3 linked regions of the Struthio camelus genome follow. The protein of the gene in region 3 purifies or fractionates together with the protein of the main gene of each other region. This does not show direct contact. Links are inferred from orthologs where the notes say so. Each region holds a gene or a part of one and is shown on either strand. Other genes may lie near its edges.

Region 1 (7,952 bases), on a different chromosome or scaffold from region 3:
CCATATATTTCCTCATATACTCCTGATCCCTCCCAAAAATCCCTCGGATCCCCATACACCCCCAGTCCTCCAAACACTCTCAAGCCTCCCATACACCTCCCATACACTCCCAGGACCTCTATACCCCTCAGCTCCCTCATATTAGCTGTCATGCACCCCCAGCCCCCCATATACTCCCTCAGGCACACTCAGTTCCCCATATACTTCCAGACCTCACACCCGCCCTTATACAGTCTCAGCCTCCCATATACCCTCAGGCCCCCCAAATGCTCCCACAAGGACCCATGCCCCTGTATATTTCTACCCCCTCAGACCCCCCCCCAGAAACCATAAACACCCCCAGCCCCCATACATCCCCCTAGAAAACCCTAGACCCCCCCATACACCTCCTTGGACACTCCCAGCCCCCCATGCACATCCCAAACATCCCTAGATCCTCCTACACCCCCTCAAATACCCCCAGACCCCCATAGACCCCCTTGGACACCTCCAGTCCCCCCCCATACATGCCCTAGAGCACCCCCAGCCCCCCATATACTCCTCAACCCCCCCAGACCCTCCATACACCCCCTAATCATCCTCTCAGACCCCTCCAATACCCCCATACACCCCTCCAAACGCCCCCCAACCGCCCCCTCCCCCGCCGGCCGCGGGAGCTGTCCAGGCCCCGGTGCTGAACCGCCGCCGCCCGGGGGACACACAACGCACGGGGCCCAGCCGCACAACCGCACAACCACCCCCAGCACAGCCGCACAGCCCCGCACAGCCACCCCCAGCACAGCCGCACACAGCCTGCACCGCACGCCCAGCGACACAACACAGCCGGCGAGGCACAGGCACGACGCAACCAACGCAGCAACACGCAGCCGCCCTGCGCCGCACAGTCGCGCAACACAACCAGCGCAGCAACACGCAGACCCCGCCGCACACAGCCACGCAACACCCCGCGCTGACACAACCGCACCCAAACCCGACACCCCGCACCGCTACACTCCACCCTGCACTGGCACAGCCACCACTGCGACACACAGCTTCAACGGCACACAATCACACAACACCCTGCAATGCACCGGCACAGCTGTGCACCGACACAACGCCCCGCACTGCCCCGACCCGACACAGCCGCGTGGCACTGCAACACCTTGTGCGACAACACCCAACACAGCTGCACCCCCACATGACACAGCCGCAGAGCTACACAACCCCCAGGATCCCCCTGTCCCCTCCGGGGGAACCCCCTGCCCCCCCCCATGCCGGGGCTGGGGGGGGCCAGGCCGGCTGGGCCGAGGAGCCCCCCCGAACAGGAACCCCCCCCCCCGGTGCACCAGGCCCTATTATAGGGGGTTCCCAGCTCCGGTTCCAGCAGCTCCCCCCCCCCCCCCGGTACCGGGGTGGGGGGGCTGGTAGAGCCTAACAAAGGGCCGGGCAGGGCCGTGCTGCAGGGAGGATCTGCGGCAAACTGCCCCCCCCCCCCGGGCCCGATCCTGCCGGGGTGCTGAAGCACTGACACCCCCCCCCAACCCCGGGGCATCTGGGTGTCTCCACTCGCTGTAAACAGCTGCCCCGCCTCGGGGGGCACTGGGACAGACTGGGGGGACTGGGGGCACCCAGAGCCCTCAGAAGGGGAATGAGGGGTGCTGCGGGGAGGGGGGGGGAAACGCCCTGGGGGGAGCTACGAGGAGGCTGCGTCCCATCGTGCTCTGGGTCCCCTCGCTGCTGACCACACCCAGGGCGATTCCCCCTCCTTATTCCCCCCCACAGGTACCCCACTGGCTGGCTATTTCCCCCCAATCCCCCCCCTCAGCTGCCTAACCCCCCCCAATCCATGCCTCTGCTGCCTATCCTCCCCCAGGCACCCCCTCGACTGGCTATGGCCCCCCCAAATCCCCCCTGGCTGCCTATTCCCCCCAAGTACCCCCCCAGTTGACTATTTTCCCCCATATCCCCCCTCAACTGCCTACTGCCCCCCCCCAAGTACCCCTCCGGCTGCCTATCCCCTCCCAAATCCCCCTCCCAGCTGCCTATTGCCCCTTCAAGTACCCCCCCGGCTGCCTATTCCCCCCCCAATCCCACCACAGCTGGGTGGGCCGGGTCCCCCTCTGCCCCACTGGGGGGATCTGGGGTCACTGTCCCCCTCCTCACACTCACCCCCACCACGACGCTGTCGTCACCCTGGAAGACGGGCAGGAACTTGTCCCCCCGCAGGATCTCGGCCTGGTTCAGCGGCCGGAACCGGCACAGCACCTTGATGCTGCACTCGGTGCTGGGCTCCACCATGCTGGAGGGTGCCGGGGGGTCCCGGAGGACTGAGGGGGGGTCTCAAGAGGTGGGTGCTACCCAAAGGTGTGGGGTGCTGCCCAGGGATGCTGGGAGCGCCCCTGGGATGCAGGTGGTACCCGGGGATGCAGGTAGTGCCCAGGGGTGCTGGGGGCTACCCAAGGGTGTGGGGTGCCACCTGGGAGTGCAGGATGCTGCCCAGGGGCCGCGTGGTACCCAGGGGTGTGGGGTGGCACCCGGGGATGCGGGATGCTACCTAGGGGTCAGGCAGCACCCACGGATGCAGGGTGGTACCCAAGGATGCAGGATACGACCCAGGGATGTGGATGGTACCTAGGGAAGCAGGTGGTACCCAGCGGTGCAGGATGCGACCCAGGGATGCAGGATGCTGCCCAGGGATGCGGGTGGTACCCAAGGATGCAGGATGTGACCCAGAGATGTGGGATGCTCCCTAGGGGTCAGGCAGCACCCAAGGAGGCAGGATGCGACCCAGGGGTGCAGGATGCGACCCAGAGATGCAGAATGCTCCTTAGGGATCGGGCAGCGCCTAAGGATGCAGGATGCGACCGAGCGGTGCAGGGCGGTACCCAAGGATGCAGGATGCTGCCCAAGGATGCAGGGTGGTACCCGGGGATGCGGGTGGTACCCAAGGATGCAGGGTGGTAGCCGGGGATGCGAGTGGTACCCAGCAGTTCAGGATGCGACCCAGGGCCCGGCGGCGGGTGCGGGCGGCGGCCGGTGCTCGCTGCTGCCCCGTGCTCCAGTGACCGCGGCGCCGCCGCAGCCCCGGTACCAGGAGGGGGAGGCCGGGCCCCCCCGCGCACGCCCCCCCCCCCCCGTTAAGGTGGAGCCGCCCGCGGCCCTTAAGGTGGACGGAGCCGGAATGGGGAAGGGGGGCGAGGGTTCCCCCCCCCCCCCCGAGTGTATTCCCTTCCCCCAGCAAGGGCAGCCCCAGCCTTGCCACCTGCCCTCCCCAAACTGCTGATTCATCAAAGGGGGGGGGCTAGGACGCCTGGGTCCTTCTCTCAGCTGGGGAAGAGGCTGGGGGGGGGGTTAGGATGCCTGGGTCCCTTTCCCAGTGTTTGGAGGAGGGGGGCAGGACACCCGGGGGGGCCTTGACCCCACAGAGGGAGGGGGCCAGGACCCCAGCCCAAAGGCAGCACTGGCCCAGCCGCAGCCTCAAGGGCATTTACCCCCGGGGCTGGCTGCAGGGCTGGTCCCCCCCCCTTTCTCTGCCTGCCCCCCCCCCCCCGGCAGGGCATCAGCTCCCCTCCCCCCAGCCCCGGGGACCCAGGAGTCCTGACTCACGGCCCCCCCCTCCCCCAGCCTCCTCCGGGCACTTGGCAGGGCCTAGCCCAGAGCTGAGGCCTGGCACGCTCGTGTCCTTGGTGGCCCGTCCGGGCCTTGGGCGTCCAGCTGGGGGGCAATGCAGGGACAGCTCATGGCTGCAGCACCCCTCCCCTCACCCCCAGGGACCCACAAACACCCGCAGGCAGCGCCTGCACACACCTTACGGGGGGGGGCACTCACACTCAGAGGAGTGTGCACTCACCCCCACCTCATGCGCTTTCACGCCCCACATCAGCGGTGCCCTGTGTGCACTCCCGGCAGTGGGCACTCACCCTGGAATGTGCCCACCCGGGGGGCCGCTCCTACGCTCTTGTGTGGGCGCCCACCCCCGCCTTTGCACACGCACACCCGCGCACACTCACCCTGTGCACTCTGACACTAGTGTGCACTCACACCCATGTGCACCCCCACCCCTCTGCACCCCGACTGTGCAACCCCCTGTGCATCTCCCCATGTGCACCCACACCCCTCTGCACCCCCAGCGTGCACCCTGCCCATGTGCAACTCTCTGTGCACCTCCCAGCATGCACCCTCCGAGGGGCACCCACACCCCAGGGCACCCCCACTGTGCACCCCGCCATGTGCAACCCTCCGTGCACATCCCAGCATGCACCCTGTGGGGTGCATCCACCCCGCAGGGCACCCCCAGTGTGCACCCCCCATGTGCACCCACACCCCTCTGCACCCCCAGCGTGCACCCCCGGGGTGCACCCACACCCCTGTGCACCCCCAGTGAACCCCCCTCATGTGCACCCCCAGTGTGCACCCCACCATGTGCACCCACCCCCCCCCTGCACCCCTACGTGTTCCCCCACCCCGGGTGCACCCGCCCCCACCCCCGCGCGCAGGGAGGGAAGGGGGCGCGCGGAGAGCGGCCCCCGCCCCCCGCCCCCCGCCCCCCCAGCACTCCGTTTCCCAGCGTGCCCCGCGCCGGCAGCTCTCGCGAGACTCGTTCAGTCCCGCCCGGCCCCGCCCCGCCGCCGCCGCCGCCCGGCCCGACCCGGTACCGGTACCGGCCCCGGCCCCGGCCCGGCCATGGCCGACCCCAAGTACGCCGACCTGCCCGGCATCGTGAGTGCGGGCCGGGCCGGGCCGGGCCGGGCCGGGCCGGGCGGGGGGGGGTAACTGAGGGGATGAGGGGGCCTGGGGGGGGATCGGGGAGTCTGGGGGGTCATTGAGGGGATGGAGGAGGCCTGGGGGGGGATCGGGGGGTCTGGGGGGTCATTGAGGGGATGGAGGAGGCCTGGGGGGGGATCGGGGGGTCTGGGGGGTCATTGAGGGGATGGAGGAGGCCTGGGGGGGGATCGGGGGGTCTGGGGGGTCATTGAGGGGATGGAGGAGGCCTGGGGGGGCATCGGGGGTGTCTAGGGGGTAACTGAGGGGATGGAGGAGGCCTGGGGGGGATCGGGGGGTCTGGGGGGTCATTGAGGGGATGGAGGAGGCCTGGGGGGGGATCGGGGGGTCTGGGTGGTCATTGAGGGGATGGAGGAGGCCTGGGGGGGGGATCGGGAGGGTCTGGGTGGTCATTGAGGGGATGGAGAAGGCCTGGGGGGGGGATCGGGAGGGTCTGGGTGGTCATTGAGGGGATGGAGGAGGCCTGGGGGGGGGATCGGGGGGTCTGGGGGGTCATTGAGGGGATGGAGGAGGCCTGGGGGGGGATCGGGGGGTCTGGGGGGTCATTGAGGGGATGGAGGAGGCCTGGGGGGGGGATCGGGAGGGTCTGGGGGGTCATTGAGGGGATGGAGGGGGCCTGGGGCTTTTTGGAGGTAGCTGAGGGGATCGGGGGTGTCTGGGGTGGATCCAGGTGCCTGGGGGGGAAATTGAGGGTGTCTGAGGCTTTTGGGGGGGGCCTGAGGGGATCAAGGGTGGCTGGGGGGGATCGAGGATGGCTGGGGGGTAGCTGAGGGGATTAGGGGGTGCCTCGGAGGAATGGGAGGTGGCTGGAGGGGTAGATGGGGCATTTGGGGAGATTGGAGGTGCCAGGAAGTGGGGGGGTATTTGAGGGAGTCCCCCCCACTTGGAGGGGATCAGGGGAACCCGGGACAGTAACTGGGGCATTTGGGGAGAAAGAGGGCACTTGGGACTGTTGAAGGGGAGCAGACCTGTCCAGGGGGGATCGGAGGAACCTGGCACAGTAACTGGGGTGTTAGGGAGGTGCCGGGGGTGTCTAAGAGGGATCAGGAATATTTGGGAAGACTGAGGGTATGTGGGGGAGGGTAACCGCAGGGGGGTGTCCATGGTTGAGGGGGCACCTGAGGGTGTTTTGTGGGGGGATTTGAGGTGTGGGGGTAACGGTAGGGAGCGCTGAGGGGATTGTGGGCATCTTTGATGGTGAGAGTGATGTTACTGGGGTGCTGGGCTGGGTGGTTGTGGGTGCTGCGAGGGTGACCTGACCCCCCAGGGCCGGCCCCGCGCCACCACCCGGTTTCACCGGAGCCCGTTTACATCGCCAGGCCAGGAACGAACCGGACGTGTACGAGACCAGTGACCTGCCCGAGGACGACCAGGCCGAGTTCGACGCGGTAAGGCCTCGCTGGGGCCGTGCCGCGCGGCGGGTGCGCGCGAACCTGCCTGTGCCGCCTTCCTGCAGATGTCCGGCACGCCGGGACCGGGAAACGGCCCTTGTCCCCGCGCACGCCTCTGCAGCGCCACGTCCCCCCGCCACGGTGCTGCGTCCCAGCGACGCTCACCCCCTGGTCAAACTGCAAACGTTTTCGGGGGGCCACGAAGCGCTGGCAGGGCTTAATCCCTGCCCAGTGCCGGGTGGCTGTCCCTGTCCTTGTCCCCAGGGTCTGCACGCGGTGTAACGCAGCTGAGGGCAGCAGGCGCGAGCAGGGCTGGCGAACCGCCCCCCCCCCCCCCATTGGCTTTGCCAATGGACGTGAGCCTGGTTGGGGGGCCGGGCACGGGAAACGCAGGCTGGCAGCATGCGGAGGACAACAGGGGCCACGCCGACGGGGGTCAGGCCCCATAAAAACAGCCCCAAATAGCAGTAGGGTCCCGCGGCCCAGCCCTGCGCCGCAGCCCGTTTGTTGCATGCAGGCCGTGGCTGTTCTGGGAGCGATGCGTGCCACGTCCTCGAGGCTGCCAGCCTTGACCTGACCGTGGTGTCCCTGAGATGGGGCTGACGCCCAGGCAGGGCTGGGTCGGCTCTGTCCTCAGGCTGCCGAGCCCCCGTCCTCGAGGCCCTGCGTGTTATGGCACGAGGGACGCAGGCAGGGCTGCGTTGCGGCCAGGCGGCTCCCAGCTCTGCCTGGGAGGCAGGGCAAGGGCTCCCGCTCGCCCGCGCTCCTGGCCGAGGCGGCTCCCGGCCGGAACGACTGCTCTGGCCACCCTGACGGAGCCATGATCCCCACCTTGGTGTGCTCCCGGGGACGCTCGCTCGGCCCGGTGCTCTGCCGCGTGCGTGACGTGCGCCCTCCCGGCGCCCCGCTGCCTCGTGCCATTCGCGTTGCCTCCTTGCCTCGGCCCCGCGGATCCCAGCTGGCGCTGCAGATCCTTTTCCCTCCTGCTGCCTGCCCGCCCACTGGGCCCCGCTTCGCCGGCACGTGCTCCCAAGCTGGGGTGGGGGGGAGCCAGGCCTCGACGGCGCGGGGGGCGAGACCCGGCTTCTCGCCGTGGCCCAGCTGGTGTTTGAGGGGGGGGGGGGGGAACGACACGGGACAGCGCAGCCTCGGCCCCGTCCTGCCACGTAGGGGTTGGTGTGACGCTCCGCGTGCTGCATGCCTGGGCCCTGTGTGTCGGAGCTGGATGGCTGCAGCGGGAGGACGCTGGGCACTCGGACTCCCGTTGAGCGGTAAAAAAAACACGACAGGGCAAATTGGCACCTGCAGGCAAATGCATCCCTGCTGACCCCCATGTCCTGGCAGGTTCAGTCAGTAAATCAGACTGAAATTGGCTCTTTTCACCCCAAACAGCACCAGTCAGGCCTCAGATACTCTGAAGTCGCCATCGGTGATACAGTGGTGCCGTGTCCGTGACTTGCCTCCCCTGCACCCGTTTTCCCCGCCATGCAGCCCCAGCTGTAGGCAGGAGGCAAAGGGTTAACCGGGATTTTAATTCCTCCGGTTTCCTCTTCTGGGAGCCTCGCCCTTCGGCTGCTCCAAACCGGAAGCGGTGATGTCCTACCCCACGAAATAAAGGATTTAGGGCCCCTTGGCTGGGCCCAGAGAGCTGCCGTGGGGGCCCGAGGACGATAACGCCGGAGCCGGGGAGCCGCGGGTGCCGCAGTCCCTGCCGGGCGGGTGCCAGGCCGGCGGCTGGGTGTGGGCTCTGCTGCGGCGGCCGCCGGCATGAATTAGCAATGCTGCCTTGGCTGGCGCACG
Region 2 (7,736 bases), on a different chromosome or scaffold from region 3:
TGTTAATTTAAATAGAATTTTTAACTTCTTCCTTTCCAATATTTTATGGAAGGAAGCTGCATTGCAGTCTTCTTCCAAATGCTTTAATAAAACACTGGCGCTCATTTCTGGTTTGTTTTTGTTTAACGTAACATTAAGAACTTTTTGAGATTAAAATGCTGGTTTTCTAGATGGGAGTTTACTCTGATAGTATCTTCCATTAGAACCAGGGTTCTTTCCCCCAGCTAAACATTATGTGCTGGATTTAAGCAGTAACTCTGAATGAGTAAATAATACTTACAGTACTGCAGTAAATCAGTAGAAAGCAGTATCAAGTACAGATCTGTATATGACTGTAGATCAAGTTGCACCAAATCTCCATGACCCAGTACCATGAATAGAGATGACAACGAATATGTAAAGATTTTTATTTTCATTTATATTTACAACACTGCAAGTAGCTACAAATATCCCCACGGAACCCCAGGGGGATGGTTTCTCTTAGAAAAAGCAAGCTGTATTTGAGGACATTTTCCACTAATTAACACGACCAAGATGTACACCTGAGCAAGAACCTGTACTTTGCCCCATGAATAGAAGGGAAAAGCATACCCTAAGCTTAAGATCAGATTTTCATGACTAATAATGTCCCTGAAAAATGATCCTGCCAAACTGAAAACATATATATAAGGATAAAAATGCATTATTTAAAATACATGTATTTTTCCCTCTCTCACCAGTCTTTAAACTCCCATGGTAGAAATTAAAAATTGTTATTTTCTCTTTTAATCTTTATCCTAAGGGAATTATCTGCAAGATATTAACACCTTTTTTGATGCATCATAGTTACTGTTTTCCCAGACAGACACTTAATAAACAACGATGCATTCTAAGCCACCCGCACATTCACTGAAGGGGAAAGAAGTATTCTGAACTCTGCTTCTCTGAGAAATGATATTGTTAAAAGGATATTCAACTGATGTATTTTAACCTACTTTTCATATGTCTGAGGGTTTACTTATTTAAGGGAGGAGGAAGATCTACTGACATTTGTTTTTTAAGTATCCAAATGACTGTGGTACAGTTACTCCTCCTTCGTTCCAAATATCTGCAGACCAAAGTGACAGCCCTGTATTGTTGATTGAGATTATCATCTCTAACACATTGGTGTAGGTGTTAAAAACTATAACCTTCAAATAACAGAAAAGTGTTTCCTATAGAGCCAAATTAGTTAAGTACAAATAAAGAGAAATGAGTCATTCACTTATGTCCAAAATTGACTCAATTTTTCCTCACTCATCCATAATTATTTAGCAGCTTTCATGGAAAAAAAAAAGTTTCTGCTAACTCATGGTTTAAATAAGAACATTAATTGAGCATGTAAGTAATAATATATGCTTAGTATTAGTAATTTTAAGGGCTCTTTATCATAGTGAAGTATTGGACATCTTGATAGCTTAACCAAAGTAGACCAATATATAAAACAAAACAGCAAAGACACTACTGGTTAGACAGTAAGCTGAAAACTAACCGAACTTAAAGTGTCCAGTATTGTACATCCACACCCACCAAGACCATCGCTAGCAGACTTGTGAACTGAACCCCTGCCGAGAAGCCAGTTTTGGAAAGCTCCAACTCCAAGAACAGCAGGGGCACTTCAGCGTGCAGTCTTGACAAGCATGCTGCGCCATGTCAACCAGTCAGCAAAGGAGCCGCATCCCAAATCACAAAGTGATCGGCATGACTTATTTTAAAGTTTTTACTCTTACGAGCAGTCCGTCCCTTATAAAGGGGCAAGAAAAAACAAAATTTGTCCTACTGGAGAGCACGTTGTCTCTGGAAGCGTGGCAACGGGTTGATGTTTAAAATTTTTTTTTATATATATATATATATCTCTATATATATAGTGAAAAGAAAAAACTTCCCCGGGTGTGGGTCTTTTTAAATAAGGGTAGATACCGAGTCTTCGCTCTCACAGCACTTCCACTTCTCCTACCGAAGCCTGCAAGCGCAGGTGCCTCAGCGCGCCTGCCTAACGCAGCCTGTCACGCACCCACAATGACGCACAAGACACACAGCACATCAAAAAAAAAAAAAAATCACACACAAAAAAAGCTGCATCCTCTGAAATTATCTGCAGCAAGGAAGCCGCACCGATGGAGAGATGAGGATTTAACAGCTTCCCCCCCCCCACCCCGCACCCCGCCGGCGCTTTGTCCGCGCCCGGCTCTGGACGCCAGCACGACCCGCCGGCGGAGGCGGCTGCGGCGGCGCGGAGGGGAGCGACGCCCGGGCGCGTTTCCCCGCTCCACACCGCCCCGGGGGGCGGCGGCGGCGGGGGGGGGGACTTTCCCGGCCGGCCGGCGGCTGCCGCAACGAGCCCCCCCGCCCCAGCAGCGGAGGGGAGCTGCGAGCATGCCCAGTCACGGGCATGACATCAGCCGCCGCCTCCCCCACCGCCTCCGGGGCCGGGGGCTCCCCGCTGCGCCACCCTCAAGGTGAAGGAGGCAGGAGCCGCCACCCCGCCCTCGGCGGCGGCAACGGGCGAGCGGCCCCGGCAGGCAGCGCCCGCCGGACGCTCGGGAGCCCGGCGACGGCGAGGTGTCCGGGGGCAGGAGGGGGGGGGGGACACACTTACCCCTACGACCACCGTCTCCTCGCCTTTGAATTTAGGGATGAATTTGTCCCCCCGCAGGATCTCGGCTTCGTTGAGGGGCCGGAAGCGGCACATCACTTTGATGCTGCACTCGGCGGGATCGGCCATCGCGCCGGCGAGCTGCCGCACCGGGCTGCCGCACCGGAGCCCTCTGCGAGGCGGGCGCTGTGGGCGGCCTCCCTGCCGCTAGCGGGGCATGAGGGCGGGCAGGGCAGGGCACCGCCTCACACGCCGCGGCGGCAGCGGCGCACCTCAGCCTCCGCCCGCGCAGCAACCATCGCCTCTCACCGCGGTGCGGCCGTTGGAGGAAGGCAGTGGGGCGCCCGGAGCCTTCACGCCGCCCCGCTCAGAGCCGGCCCGCTGCCATCGCCGCCGGGCACCGGCCGCCGCTCCCGCAGCCCCGCGCTTTGTGGCTGCACCGCAGTACGCCAGCCCCGCCCCGCCCCGCGGGCGCGGTGCGCGCGCGCGCGGCCTGCTGGGGGGCGTAGTCCGCGCGGCAGGTGGCGGGCGGCGGGAGCGGCGCGCGCCGCAGCGGCTCCCCCGACCCTCACCCCCCCCCAACCCCAACGGCTCCCCCGACCCTCACGGCTCCCCTCAGCGGTTCTCACCCCCCCCAACCCCAACGGCTCCCCCGACCCTCACGGCTCCCCTCAGCGGTTCTCACCCCCCCCCCAACCCCAACGGCTCCCCCGACCCTCACGGCTCCCCTCAGCGGTTCTCACCCCCCCCCCAACCCCAACGGCTCCCCCGACCCTCACGGCTCCCCTCAGCGGTTCTCACCCCCCCCAACCCCAACGGCTCCCCCGACCCTCACGGCTCCCCTCAGCGGTTCTCACCCCCCCCCAACCCCAACGGCTCCCCCGACCCTCACGGCTCCCCTCAGCGGTTCTCACCCCCGCCCCCAACCCCAACGGCTCCCCCGACCCTCACGGCTCCCCTCAGCGGTTCTCACTCCCCTCCCCAACCCCAACGGCTCCCCCGACCCTCACGGCTCCCCTCAGCGGTTCTCACCCCCAACCCCAACGGCTCCCCCGACCCTCACGGCTCCCCTCAGCGGTTCTCACCTCCCCCCCCCAACCCCAACGGCTCCCCCGACCCTCACGGCTCCCCTCAGCGGTTCTCACCCCCCCCCAACCCCAACGGCTCCCCCGACCCTCACGGCTCCCCTCAGCGGTTCTCACTCCCCCTCCCCAACCCCAACGGCTCCCCCGACCCTCACGGCTCCCCTCAGCGGTTCTCACCTCCCCCCCCCCAACCCCAACGGCTCCCCCGACCCTCACGGCTCCCCTCAGCGGTTCTCACCCCCCCCAACCCCAACGGCTCCCCCGACCCTCACGGCTCCCCTCAGCGGTTCTCACCCCCCCCCAACCCCAACGGCTCCCCCGACCCTCACGGCTCCCCTCAGCGGTTCTCACCTCCCCCCCCCAACCCCAACGGCTCCCCCGACCCTCACGGCTCCCCTCAGCGGTTCTCACCCCCCCCCAACCCCAACGGCTCCCCCGACCCTCACGGCTCCCCTCAGCGGTTCTCACCTCCCCCCCCCAACCCCAACGGCTCCCCCGACCCTCACGGCTCCGCTCAGCGGTTCTCACCTCCCCCCCCCAACCCCAACGGCTCCCCCGACCCTCACGGCTCCCCTCAGCGGTTCTCACCCCCCCCCAACCCCAACGGCTCCCCCGACCCTCACAGTTCCCCTCAACGGCTCCCCTGTACTCTTTTTTTTTTTTTTCACCAGGATTAAGCCTCCTGGATTAGGCTGGTTTCTCTCTTCTACAGAGATTTCATACACTAAACGGGCAACTTCATGGTAAAGGTGGAACAAAGGGGTATGACTAGAAATCTGTTGTTCTTTGCCTCTGATAAAGAGATTAAAGGCTTATTTATTCCTCAGCTGTCATGCCAGCATTCCCATTCTTTATACTACCCATAGATATTTTTGTGAGAAAGGGCAGAAAAAAATAGTAGCTCTGAGTGAAGCTCTGACCTTGTTAAGTTAACAAGAAGTTTGTGACTATTCAGTCAGTGAATATTCATCTGAAAAAAAACAAAGTCCTAGTGCCTCTTCCTACTCTTCACATTTGCTCTCCTTCTTCACTTAGCCCTATTTCTTCTTTGTCTGCTGAAAGTACCTGTAACTTAACCTTGGTACAAGGTTGGGGACAGGAGGGTAGTTCATTTAATTGATTAGAGTTGTCTGAAATAGTCTACACTACCTTATTTAGCCTCCACCTCCTCCATCCGTTTCTCCCTGCAAGTTAGACTGCTAAAAGACACATGCAACAACCATTGAGGTCTTCCCGTAAGTAAGAGACAGTCCCTGGACTTTAGCCACTCCAAGCAACCCCTGCAATCAGTTTCCTCCAAAGAAAGGAGTTTCAGTTGCATTACATTAGCCTCAATCATAATTAAGATGACAATGGTCAGTTCTTTGGCGGTCCTAGGGAGATTTCTCTTTCTTTTAGCTCAGTGGTTGTCCTCATTACCTGATGTGGATATGAAAAGAGCAGGCTAGTTAAAAAGATTCTCATGCCCTTCTTAAAAGTAATTACATCAAAGAGAGTTAGCAATGTGCAGGATGTGATAAGACATTATTATATAATGTGATTTATTCCTGTGGATTACCAATTATCTAGCGCTTTTATTTCTTTTTATGTTTCAAGCTTTTGCCCTGAATAGCAAATTCATAAGTCATGACAAGCAGGGGCTTAGTCATAAAAGACAACTGTTCTGATGAATTCATTTGTATTTTTCTCCAATATCAAGAGCTCAATGTGGATAACAATAGGCAAATTTCTATTTTCTAATTAGAGCAGGTATAATCTACAGCCACTAAGAACACACTGAAGAGCATTTTTCTTAGCAATATTGTCACAATATTATATTGTCTGTATTGTCAATGTATGACAATACTGTATTGTCATAAACCTGCTCTTTTTACTTGTTATTACTAGACTGTTGAGCGTTAAGCAACTTAGTAGGAACATTAGGTTCCAGTCAGTCTTGGAGGTGATTAGAACTTCATGAGCTTGTGAGCTTCCACCTTGATCTGGATGCCCTGGTACCTCACTCAGAGTAGTAAATGGTGGAAGGTATGATTTATTGTTTATTGGGAAACTGCATCACAAGAAACATGAACTCAGAAGATACAGGAAAGCATTCATCCCCATTCCTGTAATCTTACTTTTTTTTTTTTCCCCCCCCTCTCTCCAAAAAAACAGATAGCATACTTCCAGAAAATACCATTACACACTGCCTGGCTTTTGTGAGCTACACTATACCTGGACACAGAATTTTCATGCTACCAACACCACAAAAGTGGAAGAAAGCAAGCCTTGATATCAATCTCCTTTCCTTGAAGCTGTGGGGCACGTTCTCCAGCTAGATTCAAATTCCACCATTCAAATGACCCTGACAGAGTTATACAGGGGCTGACAGCAAGTTCTGCTTGCTCCTGAAGAAACGCACAAGCTGAGCCAGCCTCAGCTGAGACAGTTCACTAAACAGCTCAGGATGTTGAAGAAGTCCCAAAGGAATAACAAATCCCCTTCTCTGAGGCTGGAGGTGGCGGGGGGGAACTGTCCATAAGAAAACAATGAGATTCCATTTCTCTACACATGAGCCACTGTTATGGCCAAGCTGTTCAGGCTGAAGCAAAAACCCAACAGAAGGGACCTATGTGATAGCAGGGCTGAACAGCAAAACAGACACTCTTACGAAGAGATGATCCCACAGAAGTAAGGAGATAGATAACAGAGGCATGTGAAAACCTGCGTCTTTTCCATAGACCCAAAAGAACTGTTCAAAGGGAATAAAAAACTAGGAAGCCAAAGACTGAAGAACAGGCAACAAAATGAACTTAGAAACGTTGAGAAGACAGTTGGGAGGAACTGCGATCTATACCCATGCATCACCAAAGAAAAGGCTGCCCATTAATACTTCAGGAGAGACCAGGCTATAGACCATTTGTCTAGGCAAAGAACAGGTATAGGTTCTGGGTAACCACCACTCAGTCACCCAAGGTGGTTATCCTATAAGCAATATTTCCCTTGGCCAGGCAGGTGATATTTTTTTGAGTGATCTGGGTCACTGGAGTTCCTTTCTTGCAGTTCCTGTCCTGCAGGTCTTTTTCCTTTGTACTTAAAAAACACGTGCTTCTTTATTTCATGTTCCAACATCATCTGCAGTAATCTCCAATTTTATACACATGTAATTTTTCTGTAAGCCATATCCCTTTTACTGAAACATTTGCTTGCACCACTTAATCTAAGAAATGCTGAGCTCCAGGGCTTGTGGTAATTGTTACCAAGAACAGAGCCAGCAGGTGGATTTCATGCCTCATAGTCAGAGCTTCTAATTTGGTAGCCGTTGGCTGTTGAATCCAAGTGGACATGGCCATATAGCGCCACGCTTTTAAGTGATTGGAAGTTTGTGAGCAGCTATTTACTATCTTGCTTTTGGACTTCATGTATTGCATGCTGTTCTTTCTTGAATTTGAAATGTTGTTAGACATCATTATTAAATTGAATGCAATATGTAAGAGTGTTATTTTACAGAGGAAAAAAGTCCTTGAGGCATTTACCATCTGACGCATATAATGAAAGGCAATAAAAGGCAATGTTGAATTGAATGGACACAAGTTGCTCTTTGCCTTACAGGCAAAGCACCTTGGCAGGACTGGATTATGATGTTGCACAGTCATTTAGCAGTGAGACATAAGACCTGGGGCTGAACTAAAAATTTAGCTAAAAAAAAAAAAACCTTGGATCATGATCAGTATTCCTTTCTTTTTGTTCAGTATTTTGTCTCTTATTACAGTCAGCCCTAAGATGCTCACTAGCATGCAATATAAAGGAGATAATTTCCTCCTATTTCTGTGTAATAGCATCTTGATATGTTACTTACTCTAAATCATAGAAGAGTTTTTAAAATAGGCAATAGGAAATACTTCAGAATAACTAGGAAGGTAATGCAGTTCAAAGATTTAAACTAGATTTTTATAAGAACTTGTTTCAAGGGAATTTCTATAATTCAAAAGTCTTTAGATTGAGAAAAATTTCAGGTCAAAATATGACTTTTATATATACATACACACAAAATGTTG
Region 3 (7,247 bases):
TCTTAAAGAAATACTATTTTTGTAATTATTTGTACAGCGAATTAAGTTTTAAAACAATCATAAACTATGCATCTGCAGATATGCTGTTAACCCTACAATAAACTCAGTTGCATTTGTCTGCCACAGAAGCCAAGCAGAGGAAGAGATGGAAGAGTAACTGCACAAGTCCACAAGTCTCAAGAGAAACAGAAGCTGCATTAAATGGACTCAGAACTCAATATGGAGATACAGTACTTCCCTACACTCCCAGCGAAATAACAGACATAAATATGTGTGTATATGTATACAGATACACGTACAAAGACATATAGAGAGAGAGAGAGGTGTAGGGCATAAAAATAGCACACAAGTGAGGGTTTTCCGGTATCATCAAAGAAAGTTCCTCATAAGCAGGGCAAGCAGCAACTGCTCTTATATCACATACAGCATTCTTGAGCGTTATTCTCGATTCTTTTATGTCAGAAAGCATTCAGTAGATCCTATTCTGGACTCCTGCAAACTCCATTTGCAGTTTAGTGTGCAATTCCTCTTTTGCCAAAAAAGACTTACTTTTTTTTTTTTTAAATCATTTTCCATTATTAGGCCACTTTTACCATCTCACAGTAACGTGATGAACAGTAAATGAGACAATTTCAAGACAGTTTTAGGGAGGTAGACATAACTCTTTCATTCTCTTTTTTAATTACATACGATGGCACTTTTATGATAAAATGAATGGAATTTAAACCCAACTGCTGTTCAAATTTCTCATTAATGGATTTGTTTAGCCCAATCATCATCCTTTGGAAGGAGAAAGGTTGCCAAACTTTAACTGCAACATGATGCAGAAGTGATACTGCATTCTTGTGTGACTCTGAGAACTGACAATATCTATTCTCTGCATTTCCTCACATGGTTCTGCATAATACAAAAAGCATATCCAAAGAGAACAGCTAGAGATTTCCACATTTTTAATGATTTCATAGAAATGCGTTATTAAACCATGTGCTCACCGAAAAAAAAAAAAAATTGTTTAATTGGCTTACAAAATACAAGGCCTTTTGCTTAGAATCACCAAATGGATCAGTTTTCTCACTGCTGCCAGTAAATGCTGAATGTGTTACTTTCAATTATAGCTATAATCCGAGGGTTATATTATCCTCTACTATGTTTCAGTGAAGCTTTGGAATTCATAATCAATTAAAATAAAGCTATTTTCCAAAAGAAATCAAAATTCAATGCTGAATTTAAAAAGATCTGTTCAGTTAAAATGCTTAACCATCTAAATCTTGAAGGTTCCTTTTTAGCTTTCCAATGCACACCCTCTGAGCATAAGTTTCCTATTTAAGTGCAGTGCAAATACAAAAGGGGAAGAGAAAGAGACAATTACTTCCTAGGGTAATTGTTACTGTGCCTTCGGCCAACAGCAAGAACTCCGAAATTATATTTTAAAATAAGTTCTCATTTAATACAATTTTATGTTTAACTGTGATATAAAATAATATCAGGAGCGACATTTGCTCACATTTTTGCTGTTCAAAGTAAGCCATGAAAACAACCTTTCACTTTTTGCTAGTTGGCCTTACTTTCTGATTCTGTATTCTGGTTCCATATTCAGTATTTGACTACCATTGTTACATTTAAGTAATAAACACTGTAGGAAATGATTAACAAGAAAAAAAAAAAAAAAGCATCATAATTGACTTAGCCTTCAAAAAGCCAGTTAGCAGCATTAATTTAGGTGATGCTGCTTTGATCATTAAAACATACTCCAATACCCTTAGAACAAAGCATTCATTAAAGAATCAAGAAGTCCTTTCTTGTGACTGTACACAACTGCTGTGCAGATTTACAGATCAGACGTTTTGTTATCTAACAATATTAAAAACAAAAAGCCAAAAAGAGAAAGATTTTTAGAAGTCTTTCTAATTAACGTCTAGGCAAACGATAGACATCAATAAAGTCAGTAATGTATTAATGTTATTTCGCTAAAATTAAGCATTCATAATCTACGTTTTCCTTCATTATTTTGGAACTGTAGATATCTCCTGGGTCAAGATCAAAGTCTGAGAATCGTCTGAGACCGTAGCATGGGTTGGTGCCCTATAACGTTATAAATCTGGTCACTGCGAAACCCAAGCTGTCTTCCCGAACTCCTCTTTCACCATTTCAGAATTAGCAACGACTAGCTTACTAGGCACAATAAAGTAAAACCGGCGCGCGGCCGCTGGCCCGCCAGCCGGGAAGCCGGGCGAAGCGGCGCCCCCTCCCGCCGCCCCGCCCTGCCCGCGGTCCCCTCCCTGGGCGGCGCCCGGCCCGGGCTGCAGCGCGGACCGACGCCAGCAAGGGGACAAAGCGAAGCCGATCACATCCCTGCCGTGGGGGTGGGGGCGCCTCCTCCTCCCCCCCAGCGCTGCGCTCCCCACGGGTGATTACAACTAACAGAGCTTTAGATAAAACACGGGGAAACATCCTCCCCTTCGCCTCCCCCCCACCCACCTACCCAAAAAACCCAACCCACCGCACACGAAACGGGCCGGCTGTCAGCCGGAGCTGCAGGCGACCAGCCGGCCAGCCCAACCTTTTGTTGTTTCTGCCTAACGGCAGACAGGAAGGCGCAGATAAAAAGCCCCGAAGCCCCCGGCTGCCCCCCGCCCCGCCGCTCGCTGTCAGAGGCTGGCGCGCCCCTCACTCACCGCTCGGTGCTGCAGGCTCGGGCGATGTGCGCAGCGCTCGCAGAGGCGGCGGGGGCCGCGCAGCCCGCGGGGGCGGAGAAGAGGCGGCCGGAGGAGGATGTCAGCGATGGGCGGGCGGAAGGGAGGAAGGAAAAGGGTGTTTTTTTTTTTTTTTTGGGGGGGGGGGCGGGAGAAAAGAGAGAGAACGAGAGAGAGAAGCGAAGGAAGCGGGTCGGCACCGCGGCCGCTCCGAAGGCCTGAGAGGCACTGACAGGCCCGGCCCGGCCCGACCCGACGGCCGCGGAGGTCGGCGCGGGGCCCTGCCTCCGAGGCGCGGGCGCTGACAGCTGCAGGCAGCCCCCGCCGCCGCCGCCCCCGCCGCCCCTCTGCCCGCCCCGCCGCCTCCGCAGCCCGTCGCCCCGCCCCGCGCAACATGGCGGCGCCCCCACTCCTTCTCCCACAGTCCCCCGCGCGCCCTTCTTTCTAGAACCTCCCCCCGACACGGTCTATGATGTCATCCGCCCCCCCGCCCCCCCCCCCGCGCGCGGCGGGTAACGGCCGCCCGCGAGGCGAGTGCGAGTCCAACGGCCGCCCCGGCCCCGGCCGCCTTGGGCAGCCGCGCCCGGCGCCCCTCCCTGCCCGGCGCCGCGCAGGGAAGATGCTGAGCCAAGGCCTTCAAGGGCTCAGGTGCGAGGCCGTGTCGGGGCAGACGGGCCTAGGCCGTGCCCCCTCGCCGGACGGGGGGGAAGGGCGCGTGTGCGTGAAAGGTGCTGCTGTCACGAGCAAAACCCGACGTTTGCTAAGCGCACGCTCAGGTGACCCAGCCTTGGTGTTGTCCCTAGGTAGGGTGCGGGTATTTCCCATGTTTATGGTTTTGTATGCCCTGGAAAGACGTTCTGGAATTTTGTTTTGCTATAAGGCTGACAATAGGACATAAAAAGCCCGTGGTCCCTTCTCAAGCACCTCTGGAACAAAGGCGCATTAAAGGAGCTGCAGCACGCAGGCAGCTTGCAGTCGATGTACAGGTCACACAAAGGACAGCCGAGGCTGAAGTACAAATGCTATGGAGGCTGGGTCCCCTCCCAGGATTCACGGGCTGCTAATACGTTTCCACACCCTTGTCTTAGGTGCGCATTGAACATAATAAAAGATCCCTATTGTTCTATAGGTTTATTCATAAAAGGAAAAACAAGAGTTTCATCATAACTTTTAGTGACACCAAGAACTGCATTTCCTTGCAGTGTCTCATTTCACTCCCATTCTCTCAAAAGAGGAGAGACTGGTCACAAGATTTTCTCCATATTGCTTTATATTCTGTTCAGTAGAAGTCCATCCCAGAAATGAAGGAAGATGGAAGGAGCCGGGGTTTGGGATTAAAGATATGACACAACAGTAAAATGTACATTAGGAATCATCAGGGAACAGTGACAGCCCAACTTTATGAAAGAGTTATTAGAGTCTAGACAGACTATTATGGGGCGTATTGCCTGCCTGAGCACCATACATGTAACTCCTACAGGAGATACAGGTATGAATCATTAACTTATGGAACCATGCGGAGGTATAGTGCTAAATCAAAATGTGTCATCTAAGTGGTATACCTTACAATATAAAAGGAAAGCTCTGCTTACGTGTTATTTGCCTTCACATGTAACACTGAACACATCTAGAAGATGGCAGATGTGAGAACAAGAATGAGGTGAGAAAGCAAGACTAAGAAGAAGCAGGAAGACGGAAAAGGAATCAAAGCTAATGCTGTCGTCAAAGAAGTAGAACAGGAAAAGACAGTTCACAGAAGCCTATGAGGAACAACATAAAGTTTGGGGGGAAGTGGATTGTCTACAGACTGCAAGGACAGAGAATTACTGTTGGATCTGAAAAGCTGAGGGAACTGAAGTATACTTCCAGAATACTGCTGATTCACATCTTACAGAGATCGAGCTTTCTAGCAAAAACAGTTGTGATACATGTACTTCAGAGCAGCAGCTTTTTGTGTTTCTCATCTCCATTTAAAATAACATTCCTCTGATAATTTTGTGTGGTTTATCATCACAGGGCAGCTTGGACAGGAAAGTCAGGGGATAGGCCAGCCTAACTATGTATAATACTGTGAAATAGGTGTTTGGACAGTAATGTGAAAAGGGGAAAAAAAAGGAATTGAAAGGCATTCCTTTATACAAACTACATTTTAAAAATAAGAATCATGCCTGTGGGTCCACAAGTTCAGCGTTTTCATGAATATGCAAGAGATTTAATTAAAAATAGAACGTCCTAATTACATAATTATGCAAGAGAACTGATTCAAAGGAACCACGCCTATCTTTTAAATAAACAATATTCATTACTTTCTTCCTATCACACATATACTTTACAAGATTTTCTGTAATTAGTTGCTTACCCCAGGGATCTCTGAGCATCTCTGAACAAAGCAACTACTCCAGCGATGACCCTGATTCATAATATGCAGGCTAATGAAGTATGCTTGCAATTTCTTGCATAAGTAGCACACGCTATAAGCTCCCCGGTGCAGGAAGGTTGATCAGTTCAATGGAACTAAAGCGTGGTATTACTCCCCTCTGTTTATGGCACGCAGTAGAAGAGCAGAGGCAAAAGAGACTTCGTCAGCCTGCTTCTTCCTCAAGCTTCTGCCTGACTGCAAGTACCATAAGAGTTTCTCTTCAGTTGGATCTTGTTTTTCCTGTCCAATCTACGTAAGAATTATCTAAGTTCTTCCAGCAGTAAAACTGTAATATTGCCCCACATTTGCATCTTCTCTTAAGGAGTTAGTTATCCTATTTGCCCTGCTTTTAGGATGAAGTGATCTAGACTTGCTGTCTCTAGAATAGTCTTTATCTGCCACAAAGTCACTGTGGTTTTCTGCAGACATCTCAGTGGATATTAAAACCCCAAAACATGTTATTTACACTGCCAGATTCTTTTTCCCTCAATATACCCATTTCTCTCCTCTCCCAAAAGAAGGTTTGTAATTCACAGTGGGAGGAAAAAAGCAAGCAGTAAAGCTAATACAACACAAAACTCTTACGTTTTGAGGTAACGTAACAATGTGAGAAATACACACAGCAAACTCCCAAGTTCAGTTTGACTGACATCCAGTCAGAGGAAGCTTCTACAAAGAAATTCATGTTCACTTCATTTAGGAAGCATGCGATGTTTTATTTTACCATTGTCATTCAAAAAAATAATTTTAGATTTAGAGCATCTTCCCTCCTAGAAGAAGGAGACAAAAGTTTTTTTTTTTTTAAATCTAATCCTACCGTCTATAAAATCCATGATTTCATTTTATAAATATGGGCTGCCATAAAGCACTAAATTGGAATAAATTCAACCACTGCTAAAATGCTATGTAAAAGCATCCTGGCAACAATAAATACCGAAAGGCCAGATTCAGGAACCTGTCTGGTTTTTCATCATGATCACTTGACAGTTGCATAAGCTAATTTATATTCTTTACAAAGAATTCATATTTCATAAAAGAATTTCCCATACGGAAAACAGCAAACAAAAATCACTGTTTAAGAGTCAAAAGCGTCAAGTACGTGGTTCCACACAGTTTTAGTCTAACTCCTTTGTGCTTATGTGCAATTAATGCACGCAGAACTACCTTGTTATTATGGAGCTCGAGCACTTTGGAGTAAAAGGACTGTATTTTGACATGATTCATTATTATACTCCAGGTGCCTGAACTTACCATAGGGAACCCACTGTTGGACATAGCATTAAAGTACTAAGTAAAATAAACACTGCTCACGATCCTACTCCCCAAGACAATATGCTTCATTTACATGCAAGTTAATTTTCCTTAGCCACAAGGATGTCTAAAAAGCTGCAAGAAATGAAAGGTAGTGTGCTTCTCCCTGCCCTTTTCTACCCTCTCTTCTATTTCCCCTGCCCTATTGTTAAATAACAAGAAGATCATGCAATGTAATTAAAGTTCACAAGGTCATTTCATTAGTTAATTTCTGTTACTCTTTTAAGCAGAGCAGGATGCTTGCTGTGGACATTAACATTTTGCTACCCCAAATTCCCTTCATTTCATAGCTATTACATAGCAGCATTATTAAAGTTCAAAGGACACTGGAATGTTTTGGAAAGCCTTTCAGTTAGCTCTAAAACATTTCTATCATAAAAAACAGACTAAAAATCCTCAACTAATTCAGTTAAAGTAACCAGATGAATGCTAGAAACTGTTAGACAACTTGCATGTCAATATTACTGTATGAACATAAAGAAAAATAGTAGACAATTTCAGCAACACAGCTACGTTTCTATATCCTCGTTTCCTCTATGATGTGCAAAGTATTAAATGATCAAGGATTTCCTGAGAATTGTGCCGTTGGACAACCCATAATATTCTGTGCTATATGAATTTACAGACACTGTCAGTATTTCCCAAGATACTTCAAACGGTAGAACGTCTAACAGTTTAGTTATCGTCAGAAGCTCTCCTCTACAAACCCCTTGACTTGTATCTTCACTCCCTGCATCCAAGGAGTAGGTTCCCACCTCTGAGGGACCGCTCACACCTGTTCATACTTATTTCACCCCACTAGCAATTTCTGTTCTTTTTTTGCT

What was found.
Region 1: the proteins of KLC1 (region 3) and KIF5A purify together in Homo sapiens (co-immunoprecipitation; 7 studies listed by BioGRID and IntAct, counting the BioPlex papers as one, with this or other methods). This does not show direct contact. The link is inferred for Struthio camelus from reciprocal best matches to the Homo sapiens genes KLC1 and KIF5A.
Region 2: the proteins of KLC1 (region 3) and KIF5C purify together in Homo sapiens (co-immunoprecipitation; 4 studies listed by BioGRID and IntAct, counting the BioPlex papers as one, with this or other methods). This does not show direct contact. The link is inferred for Struthio camelus from reciprocal best matches to the Homo sapiens genes KLC1 and KIF5C.

Annotation. Positions count from the first base shown.
Region 1 is NC_090969.1:2,321,118-2,329,069, forward strand, and holds the start of KIF5A (kinesin heavy chain), read right to left. Parts: upstream 3,068-7,952; 5' UTR 2,865-3,067; exon of another isoform or gene 2,307-2,864; 5' UTR 2,278-2,306; coding exon 2,149-2,277; intron 1-2,148. Other genes in the region: DCTN2 (dynactin subunit 2), read left to right, coding at 4,663-4,698, 6,081-6,149. UniProt on the Homo sapiens protein: Microtubule-dependent motor required for slow axonal transport of neurofilament proteins (NFH, NFM and NFL). Can induce formation of neurite-like membrane protrusions in non-neuronal cells in a ZFYVE27-dependent manner.
Region 2 is NC_090947.1:43,665,289-43,673,024, reverse strand, and holds the start of KIF5C (kinesin heavy chain), read right to left. Parts: upstream 3,082-7,736; 5' UTR 2,744-3,081; coding exon 2,618-2,743; intron 1-2,617. UniProt on the Homo sapiens protein: Microtubule-associated force-producing protein that may play a role in organelle transport. Has ATPase activity. Involved in synaptic transmission. Mediates dendritic trafficking of mRNAs.
Region 3 is NC_090946.1:72,488,344-72,495,590, reverse strand, and holds the start of KLC1 (kinesin light chain 1), read right to left. Parts: upstream 3,032-7,247; 5' UTR 2,676-3,031; intron 1-2,675. UniProt on the Homo sapiens protein: Kinesin is a microtubule-associated force-producing protein that may play a role in organelle transport. The light chain may function in coupling of cargo to the heavy chain or in the modulation of its ATPase activity.